Linked DNA regions of Canis lupus familiaris. The protein of the gene in region 3 purifies or fractionates together with the protein of the main gene of each other region. This does not show direct contact. Links are inferred from orthologs where the notes say so. Each region holds a gene or a part of one and is shown on either strand. Other genes may lie near its edges.

The links.
Region 1: the proteins of COPG2 (region 3) and COPB2 fractionate together in Homo sapiens (co-fractionation; 4 studies listed by BioGRID and IntAct, with this or other methods). This does not show direct contact. The link is inferred for Canis lupus familiaris from reciprocal best matches to the Homo sapiens genes COPG2 and COPB2.
Region 2: the proteins of COPG2 (region 3) and COPE purify together in Homo sapiens (affinity purification with mass spectrometry; 5 studies listed by BioGRID and IntAct, with this or other methods). This does not show direct contact. The link is inferred for Canis lupus familiaris from reciprocal best matches to the Homo sapiens genes COPG2 and COPE.

The regions. Positions count from the first base shown.
Region 1 is NC_049244.1:36,083,786-36,087,285, reverse strand, and holds part of COPB2 (coatomer subunit beta'), read left to right. Parts: intron 1-1,863; coding exon 1,864-2,010; intron 2,011-2,836; coding exon 2,837-2,936; intron 2,937-3,500. UniProt on the Homo sapiens protein: The coatomer is a cytosolic protein complex that binds to dilysine motifs and reversibly associates with Golgi non-clathrin-coated vesicles, which further mediate biosynthetic protein transport from the ER, via the Golgi up to the trans Golgi network.
Region 2 is NC_049241.1:44,618,541-44,622,005, reverse strand, and holds the end of COPE (coatomer subunit epsilon), read right to left. Parts: exon of another isoform or gene 3,137-3,465; intron 2,912-3,136; exon of another isoform or gene 2,382-2,911; intron 2,083-2,381; coding exon 2,014-2,082; intron 924-2,013; coding exon 849-923; intron 762-848; exon of another isoform or gene 714-761; coding exon 666-713; 3' UTR 501-665; downstream 1-500. UniProt on the Homo sapiens protein: The coatomer is a cytosolic protein complex that binds to dilysine motifs and reversibly associates with Golgi non-clathrin-coated vesicles, which further mediate biosynthetic protein transport from the ER, via the Golgi up to the trans Golgi network.
Region 3 is NC_049235.1:6,238,136-6,241,635, forward strand, and holds part of COPG2 (coatomer subunit gamma-2), read left to right. Parts: intron 1-57; coding exon 58-125; intron 126-2,211; coding exon 2,212-2,400; intron 2,401-3,500. UniProt on the Homo sapiens protein: The coatomer is a cytosolic protein complex that binds to dilysine motifs and reversibly associates with Golgi non-clathrin-coated vesicles, which further mediate biosynthetic protein transport from the ER, via the Golgi up to the trans Golgi network.

The DNA.
Region 1 (3,500 bases), on a different chromosome or scaffold from region 3:
TTTTAGGTATTGTGTTCCTGGCTGTGCCAGAAAATTATTCCTGCTTAGAAGTTTCTCTCAAGAGCTCATATTGAAGTCAAAATAGGAACTTCTCACTTTGGTCCGGAGGGACATAATTCTGTTTAGAAAAATATTATGACAACTTGTGCTCAGTGGGAGGAGTGTTTTTCCATGTCAAAGCAATCTATTATAAAACTTGTAAACCATTGCAAACCTAGAATAAGAAATATGCCAGTATCTCTTATTTCCTATTTCTTCTCCTTTTCGTGTATTCTGTTTCCTATTTCCTTTCAGTGTATTTGTTGTTGACCTCAGCTGAGTATTAATCTATTTTACTTTAAAATTTCATCTGCCTCCATTCTCTTTTTCTTATTTCTCCCTACTGCTGCCAAGTCTTTCTAAAACATGGGTTTGACCTTTCTGCTCCCAATCTAAGGATAAAGTCCCAGTACCTTAATGTGGAATACAAGGGTTTCCAGACTAGCCACAGCTAATATTATGAGACATCTCCTATAACCCTGACCTACCCACCATTTTCTAGAGAACTTTATTCAGCTGTTACCTCTACTTATGATACTCTTTATTTTTCCCTTTTGACTTTTTTTCCTCTGGAGAACTACTCATCTTTCAAGGCTTAGCACCGTTATTTACTCTGAGAGGCTCTCTTCAGACTTCCATTACATCCCCAGACAGAGCCAGCCATGCTCATCCCATTCCTTCCATTCCTTTTTGTTTCTATTATGGCCCTTATTTTGAATGATAACTAATGTGTCTTCAGAAATCTTTATCCTCCAAAATGTTGATGTTTGGGGTAGGAACTGGTATCACCCCCACTCCCTCAAACAGACACTCAGTAGCCAGCAACACAGTGCTTTGCTTGTACCAGACACTTAATACATGTTGCATGAGAGTAGTCATACTCCTTTTTCCATTACAGTATTTAAAATCTCTATATGCATAGATTTAAAATGATAATTGCATTAATTTTTGCTTTCATGTGTGCATGTATGTTTATATCTACGTAACATTTTTATTAATTTTCCTTTAACTTAGGTAAAATATTATGTTATTTGATGATAATTTATTATTAAATGATATCTGTCCAAATATCTTAGGGTTTTGACCTTTTTCCCCCTTTTGCTGGATTGTCCTTGTTTTTGACATAGGTTGGAAACTTTGAGAAATTAGTTTCAAATTTTCTTCAATAAAAGGTATATCTTGAGAACATAAACTGTCTTATCTTTGGTTCTAACAAAGTTTATTAAATGTATTCAGTGGTAAACATTTGTTTACGCATCTTTTATACCTCCTAGAGGGCCACTTATGTAGGAGGCTCTCAGTAATTATTTGTAAAGATAAAGCTCAATAGTAGTGCTATGGTAATGTTTGACTACTTTTCCATACTCTAAATTTTTTAGTTAAGTGGTAATTTTCTCTTTTTAATAAACCTTACTAAATTAAATCCACTTTTACTATCTTTATATTGAAATTCTCATAAAAACCACATCTTACCTTTAAAGAATTGTTCTTCAGACACAGCCTGTGGATTACTGGGGTATCTGTTAAAAAAAAAAAAATCTAGATTCCTGAAGAATCTGTAGGGATAGGGAAAAACTCTCTAGGGATAAAGCCTGGAAATTGGCATTTTCAGAGAACACTGTAGTTATTCTGCCCCCCCTGGAAATTCAAGTAAGGTGAGAAAGAATGGAAACAAATGGATGAAAAAAAATACATACATTCTTTAGTTTTTAGTTTTCCTCTCCTGGGCTTTGACACTTTATCTAATGTATTAGAAGTGTGGTGGAACTGCCTTCTGAAAAGCAAGGCCTCTTATTGACTGGCAGATGCTGTTGCTCTCTAAAGGTTTGGCAATTGGGTTCTTCCTCACCAAACTTCACTCTGGAAGGACATGAGAAAGGCGTGAATTGCATCGATTACTACAGTGGTGGTGATAAACCATACCTCATTTCAGGTGCAGATGACCGTCTTGTTAAAATATGGGACTATCAGGTACAGTTTTTTCATAATCTTGCTTTGCTGTATATTAGACATGGATTTCACTGTTTTCTTCAGAACGCTTAAAACTTTATTATTGAACTCCATTCATAGTAATAATGCTTCAGTATGTGCATCTAAATAGTGGTCTCAGAGTTCTCCATAAAAATGAAAACAAATACCTATCGAGATTTTAAAATAAAATGCCATTATGTTTACTTTTCATTCAACAGTAGAAATTATAATCATTTTGGTTAAAATGAAGTATTACATCCTCTAGTATCCTCACTGGTAGACTTCTGTTCATATTTGAAAACTAGCAGATCAACAAATAATACTATGACATAGCCATGGTATAGCCAGTTGTCACATAGGCTTTGTAAACCTAATTACGACTTCTTGTTACTATGCTTTTTATCTCTAAGAGACAGATTTTCTGTTTCTTAGATCAAAATTTCCATAAACAGTTATTAATAAAATGAGGCTTAGAAAGCCAGTGTTACTCAGCACCTTATTCAGATTTGTGTTTAAGTACAGAATAAAAATATTAAAGATATTATCTTAGAAGTTGCGGGGGGCGGAGGATATTCAGATGAAAATCAGATCTCTTCTTTAAATGTGATAGTTGCAATTACATTTCCCTATATTGTCAAAGAATTAGAAAAAAATATGCACATAAGATAATTGTGTTTCAAAAATTTCTATATATAAAAACTATTTAAATTGTCACAACCATTATCACTTATGTATCTGTGCACTGGAAAAATTAAGGATGAGTTATTTTTCATTAAAAAAATAGATATATTTAAAATATTTTTTTTTTTCTGTGTCTTGATTACAGAATAAGACATGTGTACAGACACTGGAGGGACATGCTCAAAATGTGTCTTGTGCCAGTTTTCATCCTGAGTTGCCAATCATCATCACAGGTTCAGAAGACGGTAAGTTAGAAATGTACGTTTGTTCCTGTGCTTATAATTACTAAGTGCATGGTTTTTGTTTTTTTTTTTTTTAAGATTTTATTTTATTTTTTTATTTATTCATGAGAGACAGAGAGAGAGGCCAAGTTACAGGTAGAGGGAGAAGCAGGCTCCACGCGGGGAGCCTGATGTGGGACTTGATCCCAGGACTCCAGGACCAGGGCCCTGGGCTGAAGGCAGGCGCTAAACTGCTGAGCCACCCAGGGATCCCTAAGTGCGTGTTTAAGCCAGGTAGTGCCCTGCATTGTAACTGGATGTTTCTGATAACTTCACTGTTTTTTATTAGAGAATACTTGAGCTTTAGGAGAGTGAAGGGACATTGTTGTCTTCACTCTCCTCCTCCTCCTAGTGTGTTTTGGCTCTCTTACTTAAGTAAAAGGATGCCCAGAAGTCCTAAAGAAAAACTGTGAAAAAGCCTGTCAGTACTTTGGAGTCTAAAAACCTGGGATCAAATTCAGGTGCTGCCACTTCATAGATAGTGGTTTGAGTAGATTATGAAATGAGAACAGACATATCTGCCCCATA
Region 2 (3,465 bases), on a different chromosome or scaffold from region 3:
GGGTACCACCCTCTCTCCAGACAACAGATGCCAGCTACTGCCCTGGCTTTCTCTTATGGAAGGGCACTCACCATGGGTTCCTCTCTCCAGGTAGAGAGCTGAGTGCCTCGGCCACAACAACCAGGAGCAGGGGATGGTCGGATGGGGTGGGGTGGGGGTGCATGTGTTCCTTGCACACATGTGACTCAACTGAGAGGCCTGAGTACTTCCTACCTCCCTTGCCACCCCAGGATACTGGTTTTGAGTCCTGATGCTCCTCATGATGGCTGTCACTATCTCAGTTTCTCTGGATGTCAAGTGGACTTGGGAGACATAGCAGTGCCGCCGTAGCTCAGCATCATGGGGCAGCTGTTTCCGGGGTGGGGAGTCTGTGCAGCTCCTGTTCACAGGCCCTGGTCTCCAAGGCTTCCCTCCCAGGAAAAGCCCTGGGGGACAGTGCCTGGGACCCTCCCTTCTGAGTCGTGGTTCACACATGTCCCTCCCAGAGTGGCAGACATGGATCAGGTGGAGATATTTATTGACAGAAGGGGCCCTGGTCAGGCTGAGCCTCGAGCCTTCACCTCTAGCCAGAGCAACCAAGAGCACAAGAGGATGGGTGCCTGGCAGTGGGGGCAGCATGCCCAGCCTCGCTGTTCCCGGGCTTGGGAACCAGCCTGCAGCCGGCCTCAGGCGCTGGGAGCATACTGCAGCACCAGCCGGTCAAAGTCGTTCTCCTGCAATGTGGATTGGGGACAGTGGGAGCAGAAAGAGAAACAGAGAACGTGAGTCAAGACCTCAGTCACAGGCCTTCCCTGGCCCCGCCTATGGGGGGTCTGGGGATGTGGGACAGATCGCCAGCTCAGGCTCACCTTGGCCTGGTACTCCTTGATAAAGGGGTGGGACCTGTGTGCGTCCTTCAGCTGGGACAGGTAGCGGTTTGTCACCTGCAAGGGAAATGAGGCCAGAGGCCAGGTTAGTTGAATAGGGGGCACCCAGGTGGCTTGCACATGCAGAGCGAGAGGAGGGGTGAAGTGAGGGCTGCCCAGATGACCCTGGTCTCCCAAGCAAGGGCCCTGGTCTCCCATCACGTCCATCACCCCACTGTGAAATCAGGCTGATGACAGAGGACCCCCAGGGCTGGGGAGGGAAGAGGGGGCACCTGGCACAGAGCCCATGCTAGTGCACGGTTGGAGGATGCATCACCGGATTCAGGGGAGTAGGCTGGGAGGGACCTTAGGAGAGGACTAGGACTAGGAGGAGCAGAGGGCAGGTCAGGGGGAAGAGAGTTGGGAGGGGAGGTGAATTTGTTCTGGGCACACTATACAGAGAAACCCCAGAGATCTCAGTATTAGAACCTGGACCCCAGGAAGAGCCCTTGCTCCCAGCTCCCCTCACCTCCCCAGGCCCAGCTCAGACTCAGGGGGTGGGGCACCTGTCTCCCTGAGACTAGGGGTCCAGTGCTATTTCTGGGGTGAGTGGGACAGCTGTCCTGTCTATGCTGTTCTGCCCCAGCCCTGAAGCTGCCGGGGGGGGGGGGGGGGGCTTCTATAAGGGATGGGTGACCGACTGTCAGGAAGTCCTGGGGTCGGTCCTTGGCCAACTGTGCCAGTCAGTCACCTACAGAGAGCGGTGCCCCAGAGTTCTCCCTCCCTCCCCACCCTTAGACAACATGGGCTCACAGAGATTGCTCCCCTGGGCCCCTTTTCTCTCCACCAAGAGATGGCACAGATGGGGATCCCAGCTCAGCTGGCCCTCTGAGACACAGCTCATAGTTCATAGGGCCCATGGAGCAGCTGGCCTACAGCCTGGGCCAGGGTGGGGCCCTAGAGGATCACCTGCAACACCAACTTCCCAGGGCCCCTCGCGCCAATGCAACTGCACTCACCACCACCACCACCCCTGCCCCCAAAAGGAATGCGTTTCCGCTCAAGATGCTGAGCTTCATCTGGGGCTGGAGCCGTATCACAGACCCCTGCCCACCACACGCTGGCACCCTGAGGGCCAGAACACTTCCCCTGCACCAGGGGACCCTACCTCGGGTGGCTTGCCCAGGTGCTGTGACAGGACGATGAGGTTGATCAGTGTCTCTGGGTGGCCACTGTCCTGGAAACACAGGGAACACCAGGCGAGCAGGGTCAGCTCCCCTAGGCCCCCGACTTGGCCTGCCCATCCCCATCTCAGGTGGGAAAATGCCTCCCACTGACCCAAGGTGAAGACATGACCCATACAAGGTCATACCCTCAGAGGTGGAGCAGGTGGGGGCTGCAAGACCCAAAACGTGCCTACTGGCCATTCTGCGAGGTGGTGACCTCAGGACCCTCCTTTCTACCTAAGTGACGAGGGGGCCCCAGCCCAGCCCCAACCCCAACCCACCTTCTGACTACCTTTCTTTTCCCCAACAGCTGCTTCCCCTCTAAGCCCAGTGTCTCATCTGCGGACCAGGATGCAAAAGAGCCCCCTTGCTTGCTGTGATTTGGGAGGGGTGTATTTATTATACCAACCTCAAAGTAACAGAGCCCAACCCAAGATGGCCTGAATACCATCGCTGGCAAGCTGTCCCTCTTGCTGCAAAAATGAGGTCTGAGACCACAGGGCAGACCCCGCCTGCCCCTCCTGCTCTCCAGGGGCCTTGACAAGAAACTGCTGGGAAATTACCAGAACATCCAAGCGGATGACCTCACTCTACCCACCCACACAGGGCTCTGAAGCAGGGACACTGCAGGGAGCCCTAACTGGGCACCTGGAGCAGAGAACAGCAACCCAGACTCGTGGTGTTGCAGGTTCAAGGAGCTGTATGGACCCCAGCCTCCTGCCCAGACCCAGCTCCATGCCAGGGCTGCCCTTCTCTGGGGAAACTCAACTTCTCTCCACCTTAGTCTCCTCAGCTGTTGTCATAGGGCACAGTGGCATGTACTCACAGAAGCAAAACGAGGTGAACACAAAAAGGAATGGGAAGGACAGTGAAAAGCATGGGGTGGCACGCAGGCACCAGGATGAATGAGGCCACGGCATGCCTCAGGCTGCCGGGGGGGGGGGGGGGGGGCATGGCGTGGCAGGGACAGGGCCACAGGGCAGCAAGCCAGCCCAGGTGGTGTCTCAGAGAATGAGGACAGATGGGTGTTATTTAACTGGGGACCCCACTGCCCTCTCCTTCTAGGGCAGAGACACCCCACCAGGCCAGGCTTTCCTGACCAGCCCTGCAGGCATACAGCAGTCCAGTTGAGTCAGACCCTGTCAAGGAGGCATGGTGGCTGCCTGGCAGGGCAAGGCAGCTCCAAGTAAGCAGCCTGAGGAGCACCTGACTAATGGCCCTGGCCCGCCCCTGATCTGCAAACAAACTTCTGATGGTAACTCGACCCCTCACAGAGATACAGGGAGAAAGCTTCCTACTGGTGTCTGTTTCTCATTGTATCAAGAAATGTTTTCCAAAGATGGAAAGAAACTTTGACATGTCCTCTGATTATAAAAATAACACACAAGACCTCA
Region 3 (3,500 bases):
AGATATATGCAATATGATGAAATGAGCTTTATTCACAAAGATCTTTTTTCTTTCTAGTTCTTCAGCTTTTCTGTAGCTCTCCTAAGCCAGCTTTGAGATATGCAGCTGTGAGGACCTTGAACAAGGTAGGTGTCCCTTTGCCAACTACTGACTTATATCAATGTTTGATTGAGAAACATTACATGTGAAGCATTTGACTTTCTCCCCAAGATAGAAAGGTAGGATTTATGGTCTTCACTTCTAGAGCACCTTCCTTGTATTTGTGGCCTTATGTATGGCTACTTTTACCATTCAACTAAAGATTATAATTCATTTCTGACTTTCAAGCACTTTATGGCTGAAAACCACATTGTCCAATAGGATAGCCATCAGCCATGAGTGGCCATTTCCATTTAGATTAATTAAAAATTTAAAAACCCTGATAATTTAGCTCCTCAGTCACTCTAGTCATACTCCATCTGCTCAGTAATCATGTGGTTAGTGACTGCCATATTGGTCAGTGAAAAAATATAGAACATTTCTATCACTGTAGAAAGTTCTCTTGGACAGTGCTGGTGCAACACAATGTGAGTCACATTTGTAATTTTAAATTTTATAGTAACCACAGTAACTTCTCCCTCTGTGTCTCTGCCTGAGTCTCTGCCTCTCTTGTTCTCTGTGTCTATCATGAATAAATAAATAAATCTTTAAAAAAATTTTTTAAAGATGAAATTAATTTTAATAATATATTTTATTTACCTTCATATATATAAAATGTCTTGTCAACATGGAATCAGTGTAAAATTATTAAAGATCTATATTGCCTTACGTTTTTTCATACTAAGTCTGTGACATCCAGTGCTTATTTCATGTTTAGAGCGTATCTTAATTTGGACTAGCCAGATACCAAGTGCTTAGTAGTCACATTTAACTATTGGCTACTATATTGGATGCCACAGGTTTAGAGGATACAGTTCAGAAACATAGAATGAATCAAAGAACCATAAACATTTGAAATGAAAGTTTAATGTAGAAGAAGACTTGTCATAAGGCAGTATGTGATCTATTACAAATTAATTGCATCTTTACTGGAAAACCAAAGAAGAACCTTCACAGAATTTGAGTTATACTTTTAAGAGGTGATATAGGTCCACATGCCTTTAGCTATAATCTTAAGGACAGATGTGTCTCAGAATTCAGTACTTTATGAATTTTGGGAAGGCAATATGGTGCTGTCTCTTATATATTAACTCCATTGAGCCTAGAGCAGTCCCCTACCATAAGGCACATTAATATTTTTTAAGACATTAATATTTCTTTGTTATACATATGACTATCCTCACTAAGTGGAATAAATTAAGATTTAACTCATTTTATATTATTTTGGGTCAGATTTTCCTGTTAAATGAGTTTTGATGCCAATACTTTGCTGAGTTTTCAAATTTTTTAAATCGTGGGTAAAGGATTCTATACCAATATTGAGACAGAGAGGTGAACAATTTCGACAAAAGCAAAGAAGCAGGAGAATGAGACATGTTTTAGGGAGTGTGAGCAATCCAGTTTGGCTGGAGTTTGTTTAAATACAGAAGTGTTTTCTAAGTGATAAGATATTAACAGTCTTTGAGCAGTGTTTACCATGGTAGATCCTTACATCTAGTAGATCCTTACATCTAGTAGCGTATATATCCATGTACACATGTATTATAAACAAAAACAGGTCAACTGCAATAAAATACAGGCTGTGGTATTATTACAAAAATTATAGAAAACTAGAGACCTAGGAAGAGAAAGTGCTATGTTACACTATGACTCTGGCAGGTGTTTGTCAAGTGATATATTATGCCTTATTAATTGAAAATGTTCTTCTTAAAACAATTACTTTTGACCTATTTAGATTTTTTTTTTATAATTTTTTTTAAATTTTTATTTATGATAGTCACACAGAGAGAGAGAAAGAGGCAGAGACATAGGCAGAGGGAGAAGCAGGCTCCATGCACCGGGAGCCCAACGTGGGATTCGATCCCGGGTCTCTAGGATCGCGCCCTGGGCCAACGGCAGGCACTGAACCGCTGCGCCACCCAGGGTTCCTGCGCCACCCAGGGTTCCCCATTTAGATTTTTAAAAGCCACTTACCTTGATTAAAATATCTGTTTTCCTCTTCCTTTGTTTTTTAAAGTTCTGGTCTTCATTAGTAGCAATTTGCTTAATTTATTTTTCTTGCCCTTCCACAAGGTGGCAATGAAGCACCCCTCTGCTGTCACTGCCTGCAATCTGGACTTAGAAAACTTGATCACAGACTCAAACAGAAGCATCGCTACCCTGGCCATTACTACACTCCTCAAAACAGGGAGTGAGAGCAGTGTGGACAGGCTTATGAAGCAGATATCTTCTTTTGTTTCTGAAATCTCAGATGAGTTCAAGGTAAAAGTTTAAATATGATCATGTTTCTCCCAGTCTCTGGCTTGCCTGTTTCTTAACAGTATCTTTTGATGAGCAAAAGTGTTAAAGTCTAATTTATTAATTTCTTTCTTTCACTGTTATATTGCCTTTGTCTACTTCCAAGCCTTAAAGATATTTTCTTATGTTTTCTAAATGTTTTATGGGTTTAGCTTTTACATTTTGGTCTATGACCCAATTTGAATTAAATATTTATATATTGTGTATGGTAAGTTCAAGGTTTTTTTCCATACTAATATCTAGTCATTCCAGCATAATTTATTGAAAAAGACTTCTTTTTCCCCACTGCAGTGCTTTGGCATCTTTGTCTGAAAGGCAGATAACTATGTAATTGTAGGTATATCTGGGTTCCTTATCACATTCTGTTGATCTATTTGTCAATCCTATGCCACAATGTGTTGATTAATGTAGCCTTATGGTATCTCTTAAATGTCAAGCCATGTGATTTTCCAACTTTGTCCTTTTTTAATATTCTAGGTCCTTTACATTTCCAAATAAAGTTTAGGATCAGCTTATAATTTCTATGAAACAAAGTCTGCTAGGATTATTCTTGGGGTTATGTTGAATCCATAAATAAATCTGGGGAAAACTGACATCGTAACAGTAACATCGTATTCCAGTTCATGAATATGGTATGCCTCTCCCTTTATTTAGGTCTTCTTTAATTTCTCTGAGCAGTGTTTTATAGCATTTACTATATCAGTCTTGCACATCTTTTGTTAAATTTGTATCTAAATATTTTATGCTTTTTTACTCTATTAAAATTCCTATTTTATTGTCTGCTAGTAGTATATAAAAATACATATACATATATGCTTTATCATATATATTATATATAATATATGTAAATATAATATTTAAATATTAAAATATAAATATATTTAATATATAAAAATATTTTTTTCTCTTTGTCATAACTTGGTATCATTGCTCAGTACCCTTATTGGTTCCAGTAGTTGTTATGTATTCCTTAAGGTTGTCTGTAAATAATCATGTTATCTGTGAATAGAGACAGTTTTGCTTCTTCATTTCCAAACTAAATGCCTTCCCTTTCTTTTTCTTGC